2 linked regions of the Nothobranchius furzeri genome follow. The protein of the gene in region 1 purifies or fractionates together with the protein of each later gene. This does not show direct contact. Links are inferred from orthologs where the notes say so. Each region holds a gene or a part of one and is shown on either strand. Other genes may lie near its edges. The genes, in order: dnmbp and bin3.

What was found.
Region 2: the proteins of dnmbp (region 1) and bin3 purify together in Homo sapiens (co-immunoprecipitation; 5 studies listed by BioGRID and IntAct, counting the BioPlex papers as one, with this or other methods). This does not show direct contact. The link is inferred for Nothobranchius furzeri from reciprocal best matches to the Homo sapiens genes DNMBP and BIN3.

What each region holds. Positions count from the first base shown.
Region 1 is NC_091756.1:38,440,985-38,445,463, reverse strand, and holds the start of dnmbp (dynamin-binding protein), read left to right. Parts: upstream 1-1,538; 5' UTR 1,539-1,744; intron 1,745-4,479. UniProt on the Homo sapiens protein: Plays a critical role as a guanine nucleotide exchange factor (GEF) for CDC42 in several intracellular processes associated with the actin and microtubule cytoskeleton.
Region 2 is NC_091757.1:40,408,430-40,412,238, reverse strand, and holds part of bin3 (bridging integrator 3), read left to right. Parts: intron 1-2,453; coding exon 2,454-2,595; intron 2,596-3,588; coding exon 3,589-3,723; intron 3,724-3,809. UniProt on the Homo sapiens protein: Involved in cytokinesis and septation where it has a role in the localization of F-actin.

The sequences.
Region 1 (4,479 bases):
AACTTGTTTTAGCAGAAAACGCTCAAATATCCGCTAAATCTACAGGCTTTAATTACTCACCATGACACTAAATAAAAGAAAAACATTACCGTCACATGTTCCAAACATAGATGATGTTACTTCTTGTAACTCCTGGGAACATCGTCTGGTGTGGCTGGAGCGGGCAGTCCCAAAAAAATGAGCTAACAAAGAATATTTTCAGGTTCCCTTTGGTTTAATTCTGCTACAGTTTCCACAATCCTTAAGTAATTTCCTTCTTGAAAAATAAGAATATTGATAACAGAAGTTTAAAACACCTAAAATTAAAATATGTGTAAGAAATTAGTAAACATTCATTGTGAATTATTAGGAATACAATTTTATTATTAACAGTATAGTATGGTATTAAAACACAAGTTCATTTTCAGTGTAATGATGATAAACTATCTATCTATCTATCTATCTATCTATCTATCTATCTATCTATCTATCTATCTATCTATCTATCTATCTATCTATCTATCTATCATCATCCATCCATCCATCCATCTCATCTCATCTCATCTCATCTCATCTCATCTCATCTCATCTCTCTCTCTCTCTCTCTCTCTCTCTCTCTCTCTCTCTCTCTCTCTCTCTCTCTCTCTCTCTCTCTCTCTCTCTCTCTCTCTCTCTCTCTCTCTCTCTCTACATATATACCGAAGACTTTGACAATTATGTGTAACTAAAGAAATGTACAAAAATCTCAACAAATCATGTGCTAGTTTATTGTTTTTGAGAAAATAATTTGCAGGTTTTATTTTGAAAACCTTTAAAAGTTTTCTTTGAACATTGGTGGCTTTTCAATGAAATTTCTGTCTGTTTTCAGACATGTTCATTTTTGTTTGTTAAGCTCCAAAAATCTGACCTATGAACCGTTCAGACACAAATAGGTCTTAATGGGTTTTTGCTTTTTAACCTCACTGTCACTAACATCCAGTTACACAGACACGATTCAATTAAATTTCTTGATGTGAATCTAAACACCAAAAGTAACAATTTGAAAAACAATAATTGATCTGATAATTTAATTTAATTGCTTAAAACTTGACAAGCTGCCTTTAACAGGCCTTGTTTAAGATATTTAATAGATTCTTACCTTTTTACTATGACCTCCAGATATGGTCCATCTGCTATCTGTCATCTTTTCCAATTTCGTCAGTCGTGTACAAGTGTCGTAAAAAATGAGTGAAAGGAGAACGAAAACATCTGAAGACAATTTTTGACAGACCCCCAAAAGAGTTATCAGTGACAGTCCCACTGAAACCTTTACTTTAATTTAGAAACAAAAATAATTCCTGTTTTATTCAGGAACATAACAATACAAACACACGCGCTTTTTCCTTTTTTCATAAATTTGGTTCGTTTGGAATCAGTTTTCATGTGATTTAAGTCAGGCATCTGCAGGGACACCCCCCAGTGGGAAAAGTGGGAGGCGTTGTTCTATGAAGGCACGAAGAGACGCAGAACAGCCCAGCGCGGCTTCTCCCATGTCTACCGTGATGACAGCTGAGCGTACAGAGACCTCCATGCACCCGGGACAGTCGTGGCACTTCCTAGCGTCAACATGCCGCCTTTAAGATCCCGCAGGGCATCTGGGAACCCTCGGGACGCGTAGCTACCTAAAAGTTGTGTCGCTGAAAAAGGAAACGCCACCAACACTTCACCAGGTTGAAGAAGTTGGATATCTAGTCTGACGAACTCAGATTTTCAACATACTTTACAGGTAAGAAAAACGCAAGAAAACCAAATCCTTTGACTTTTTCACCATTCTTGCTTAATAAAAATCCCATAATTTGATGTAAAATGCTCATCTGCGTGAATATAACCAGTTTACAACACAAATATTCCCAGCTTCTGTCTGGAGGACCTGCGTGCGGTCACGTTGCGCTTTGCTTTCTGTTGGGCTGATTTATGATCTCAACGCTGTTGCAGGCAGTTGTTTTCTACTTTAGACGTTATTTATTCTTCAGGGTCCTCAGTGTGAATACATTACTGAGGTGAATGGGTTAGAGTGCTGCAGACCGAGTAATCCTCCCTGCTGTGTGTCAGCTGTGGCTTCTGCTGTCAGTTGTTCCACCATGTAGACACACACACACACACACACACACACACACACACACACACACACACACACACACACACACACACACACACACACACACACAACCTCCAACCAACCTGCCTTAATTAAAATCTCAGTTTTAGGATGTTTTTTGTGCTTCTGAGAGTAAACTGATGACATTGCAGCTCCACATAATGAGGTGGTGTAAATAGATTTGTGTCCTCCAATGGACACAGGGATTATTCTTGTCCACTACAAACACTTGGGGGCATTATTCCAGTCTTACATTAACATTATTTATGGGATAAACTTCAAGTGCAGATGACCTCCTGACCAGTCTCTGGATAAATGGTGTTTACATCAGACTGGGCAGCAATCTCTTTTTGAATTGAATCCATTTGAACCCTACTGATAACCTGAATGTATGTCTTGTGTAATTACACCCACATCCAAAGCTGATTTAACATCAGTTTTCCATTACAGCACAACTTCTTCAGAAATGCTAAGATATTCCTGCTTGATATGACCACTGGATGCATGTGGAGTGCTACATTTAACCTCTACTGGTGATATCTTGTCTTGTAATTAGACGTACGCATGGTGGCAGTTTTAAGGTTCTTCAAACAGCGTTGCATGAACTGTCCTTAAGTTTTGGAGACTGGATCTGATTTTAGGCTTTAAATCATTTTAATCTATAACATCTTATAGCAGTTTCTTTAATAAGCCATTTAACTGCTGTCAGTTTTACAACATTCAGCTGAAAATGTCATTCCTGCTATGTTTATGGTTTTATATCATAATTCATTTCTAGGTAATTACTTTATGTTGATACTGAAACAGGTTTTGAGATGGAAACTGTCATGGCTCCCATGTACATAGACACCCCATGGACTGGCGCTGCCTATTGGAACTGGCATAGCAACGGGCTGCCATGTTGGATGGGGACAGCAGCTCAAGAGGGAGAGCAGGTTGTCCAGTAATCAGAAGGTTGCAGATTTGATCCTGGCTCTGATCAGAGAATGCTGCTGTTGTGTCCTTGGGCAAGACAGTTAACCCGCCTTGCCTGATGAGGGTGGTCAGAGGGACAGATGGCGCCAGGAAAGTTTATCCAACTAAAAATAACAAATTTTATTTATGCTTATTTACACAATCAGCTATAGCATGGTAGTTAAAATATAAATATTATTAAATAAAATAAAATAATAAAAAAAAAAAAGATCCCAACAGGTAGGTTTGAAAAGTCAATAGAAGTCCCACGTGATCTGTTTTCAATAGTGCGCCTGTTGCAGCTTTAGGCTGCACAAAAACCAGGCAGAGTTGCTCACTCAACTTTGCCTCCAGGTTTGGAGAGTGAGGAATCCATCCAACATGGCGGTGACGATGTTACGCTCATAGACATGAATACATAGACGTCCCTTTGGGGCAATGGAGAGCGTAACCTTGCACTATGGAAAACAGATCACGTTGGATTGGATTACTTTAGACTTTTCTAGCCTACCTGCTAGGATTTTATGTTTTAATTAATTTATTTTCATTTATTAGATTTCTGTTTTAATTATGCCATACTATATATCTGATTTTGTGAAAAAGCATTATAAAATGTGTTTCTTTAGTTGGGTAAGCAGCACCTTCCTCCGTAGAAATAAATGCACTGGGGGCAAATAGAGACTCATCCAAGATGACACTACGACAGCTTCAACAGGCAGTGCCAGTCTACAGGGCGTCTACGTATATGTCTGTGGTTAAGCTCTCCAGCACCCAATGGAGCGTCTACGTATTCATGTCACATAGCCCTCTGACTAGCCCTTTTGCATTTGCTTTGCAATACTTTTGTGCGTTGCCTGTGTGTTAGAAAATACTTAATTCTGTGTATTTGCTGTTTGTGTGTACAAAAATTGAACAAACTCAATTTGGTTAATTTACATGTATGCATCAACCAATTAACAACATGTTAAAACAGCTAAGTAAACTAATTTAACCCTCCCACTGTCCTAATGGGTGTGACCCCGTGAGGAAAGTTGACCATTGAGCAGGGTTGATGGTTTATCCCTTGAGGTCCACATGGCAGGGGTGAGGTGGTGCTCACTCCTCAACCCTACCACATGGACCCAAGGGATAAACCATCAACCCTGCTCAATGGTCAACTTTCCTTGCGGGGTCACACCTATTAGGACAGTGGTAGGGTCAAGGGAAACAACTGTTTAGTCCAGTAGTGATGCAGTTCAATGCATTTTATTTTAATTTAGCAAAGAAAAAAAATTACTTTGTAATTTTAGTGCTTATAACATATTTCGTTAAACAGCTGAGGTTTAGTTGTTGATCAAGCTTACATGGTATTCCATAAATAGTTTAAACAACAAAGGTCATTTGTGTGCAGTGAATTCTGTTTTGAAAAA
Region 2 (3,809 bases), on another chromosome or scaffold:
CGACATATTTCGCTGATCGCGGTCGTTTGTCGCCTCCCGTGTGTCGAGCCCATAAGTTTGTTTGCGACAGCTAAAGGCTGTGTTGATTTTTTTCTTACCAGGGGAGAGCGGATCGTGGATCGGCTAGTAGAAGCTAACCATTAGCAGTAACAACTCCACAACACGGCAGAACAAATTCAGTCTTGTGGAGATAAAACATCAGCGTTGCATTTTTGTAATCAATAAAGCGCGAACAGAGGCAGTGGAAGAGTTGCTCTGCTGTTAGCCAATCAGAGATCAGATGTTTGTGTGTCATGGATAATAATGAGTGTTTCCCGCCTCCTACTACTCCGACTAACTTCTGCTTCCGGAAACAGGAGCGCGAGAGCTTTTTCCCCACACAGAGATTGACTCACAGGGCATTCATTTATCCAAGAGACCACACTGAAAACCCGAGTGAATGAGAGCTTTACCAGGTGATGCAACTTTTAGTTTTTATCTCAAACGAAAAGGCAGCAATGCACTCGTAAACACATTCTCCTATTTTTAGAGCTCTCGTGCATTCTTTACAGTAGTGAGTTATGTGATAGTGAGAGTCGAGAGGGGACGGCCAGCCTCAGCCAAGCCCAAGTCTGGACCAGACTTGGGCTTGGCTGACAGCTCAGACTGGCCCGTCTGTGGATTGGCAACTTCTCATAAAAAACACATGGATTCATACGCTATTTCCATCCAGCCACTTCACCGCACCCTGACCTGTCACATGGACAGCAGTGTGCCCTCAGCCCGCATTCAGCGTCTAACCAGGAAACCCTCACACAAAACCAAACCTGACCAGTAGTTCAGCCAGGATCAGGAAGTCTAGGGAAAAGTCCCAGGTCGGGGTGGTTTTAGAGCGAACTGTCCCAGGAATGTTGCATGCTTTCACACATGACTCCGGAAACAGCCGAGTCTCTGAGATGGAGAAACGAGAATGGAATGGGTTAATTAATAGACTACTGTTTCCTGCTTCATCTCAACTGTGATGGTTGGGATGTAAAGTCTTTGTGTTTAAATAAAGTTACTACCACCAGCGGTCTTGCCTAATTATCAGGTGTAAACATGCATTGGGGCTTGTCGTGAGAAAGAAAGCAGCAGGTGAACGACACCAGTGATTTATCTATGATCCATTGTGTCGTGTAAAAGCTGGTTTGCCGCTGCATTGTCAGCACAGAACAAATATGTTGGAGAGCGGTCATGCCTAGAGGGTAGTTACATAATCCCTTGGCACTTAGAAGTATGCGTACACTGGAGCAGATAGTAGACTTGAGGATCGGCATCCACCCCTGCCGTAAACTGGGCCAAAGTGGGATTTTATAAATAGCGGTAAAGCGTGGGCCGTGGGGCTGGGCCCTGTTGAGCTATGTGATGTCACTTATACACTACAAGACCACTCCTTGCTCAACTTCCTGCTGGAAATGATCCCTGTTTGTCTGAAAGCAAGCCTCAGCTCTCCCCCTTGCCCCATCAGCCTGCTGTAGGTGTTCTTTTCAGACAGAGTTGTTGTTTAGGATTTCACAACCAGTTCACGAGTTCTTAGTGGTTCCTGCAACTGCTGCACACACACAGCAGGGCAAGAGATGGCGTGGAGAGGAACGTAAACTATGTAGCCCACACATTTTGTGGCTAATAACGCTATGGGTAGAGAAAAAGAAGGCTATTCTAGTAGCGAGCCTACGCAGCTGATAAAACGCTTTAAATGACTCATTGAAAAACGGTTGATCTAATTCCTCATTACGACTGTTTTTACTCCTGACTCATATGTAGTAGGCACCTGTGTGAATAATTCTGGAGTCTGCCTTTGAAAACACTTTTACTGGTTTCTGTTTTGGTTTTAAAAAAAAAGAACCAAAGATGGATTTTGCCCGAGTTTTGGTGATGCTGGCGGCCATTTCACCCAAAGAAGTTTCACATCCAGACTCTTGATGAAATAGCACGACTGTTTTAATGGCTCCTTTACTCTTTTTACTAGACATGTCTGTTTTTCATAAAATCATATTAGATGTGATATGTATATATTTGCATACAGTATTCCTGCTCCCCGTCAACCATAAACCCAGCGCAACAAGTCCCAGGATGAAGCTCCGACTCCTGTTGCTAAGTTACAGATGAATGCTTTCCTATTTTTAGTGCAGAAGACCAGGATTCTTGTTGCAAGAATATATTTTCATTTGGAATATGATAATTGTCACAAAGTGAATTGTTTCATGCCACTCTGAACTATAGTAATTAGATAATAGATGAGAGGAAGCTTAATGCAGAGCTGTCCTCTGAGAGCACCTCTACAGTAAGATGTTGAGAGCAATTTCATTAAATCATGATGACGTTTATGGAGATGTGATGGAATGCAGAATCTGAATATTTCACAAAGTTTCTTTTATTTTCCTGCTGGCGAAGTCTGCCGTCGCTTGACGTTTCTGTTTGCTGGCTCGTTTCAGGTACAGCGGCGTCTTCCCGAGCCTGAACATGGCGGTGAAGCGTCGGGAGCAGGCGCTGCAGGACTACAAACGCTTACAGTCCAAAGTGGAGAAATACGAAGAGAAAGAAAAAAACGGACCCGCCATGGTTAAGCTCCATCAGGTGCTGCTAGAATCCTGACTGTGACTCGAGGGGAGCGGGGTTCACCTGCTCGTACGTGTGCCGTGAACAGAGCGAGATGAGCGGGGAAAAGACACAAATGCTGACTGGATGTGAATAAAGTCGTTGAGCACATGCACACAGTACATGTGCACTCCTTCACCCACGCAAGCTAGCAGGCTCTCGAGTAGTGCCGTTTCAAAAAGGCACTGCTGCACATCTACAGGCACATAATTGAGAATTGTAGACACACACACACACACACCACGAGGCCACTACCGAAGTACACACATTCACAGATAGTGTTGCACGGTTGCCTATGCTATTGCCTTTAACACATCCTCACACGGTGAGCCTCCCACACACACTGAGAAAAGCACTGTCAGGGGAACAAAGCCTTGAAGAGGCCCTACATGCCTGCCCTTTGAGTCCATGTGCACTTAAAGAAATGATCCTTATACAACGTTTCTTTTACTGTTTTAACTTCCATCTGGGAGGAAAATAGACGGAGAGGTGAGGAGGGGAGTAAATAAACAGTATGTTACGGTTTCCTTATAGCAGCTCCCCTCCTTCCCCTTAATAAAAATTCTCACCCTTTCACAATAATTGTTTGTGCCTTCCATACCTCCATGCCTACAGCAGACTACCCACTAATACATTCACACGGAGATCCGTGGTGCTGGAGTCCACTCACAGCCAAGTCTGCCCACATCACCCACTCCTCCTCACTCTGGTCGTGATTACAGCCTTTTTTTGCGCTGCATCTCTGTGGGAATAAGGCAAATGTCTTTCATAACAATAAGAAAAAGATCAGTAAAGATGCATCAAGGAATGATTGTAGCTTTGACTAACCGTTATCACTCGGTAGGTATTTTGAACCTGTGTAGAAAAATGTGTCGTGTGATTTAAACGACACACATCGGTGTTCTCGGCTCTAAATTTAGAACCGTCAGGCGCTGACCTCTGCTTTTTTTTTTCTTTTCTTCCACGCTCCAGGCTAAAGAAGAGCTCCGACCGGTCAAGGAGGATTTTGAGGCCAAGAACCAGCAGCTGCTGGACGAGATGCCCAAATTCTACCAGAGCCGCATCGACTACTTCCAGCCCAGCTTTGAGGCTCTCATCCGTGCACAGGTTGGTGCTCCTCTGCAGGAGATCGGAGGCTGTCGGAGCTGCAGACACACCCTTCCAGCTGTGTGTGTTTATCTCAGCCCGTCTGT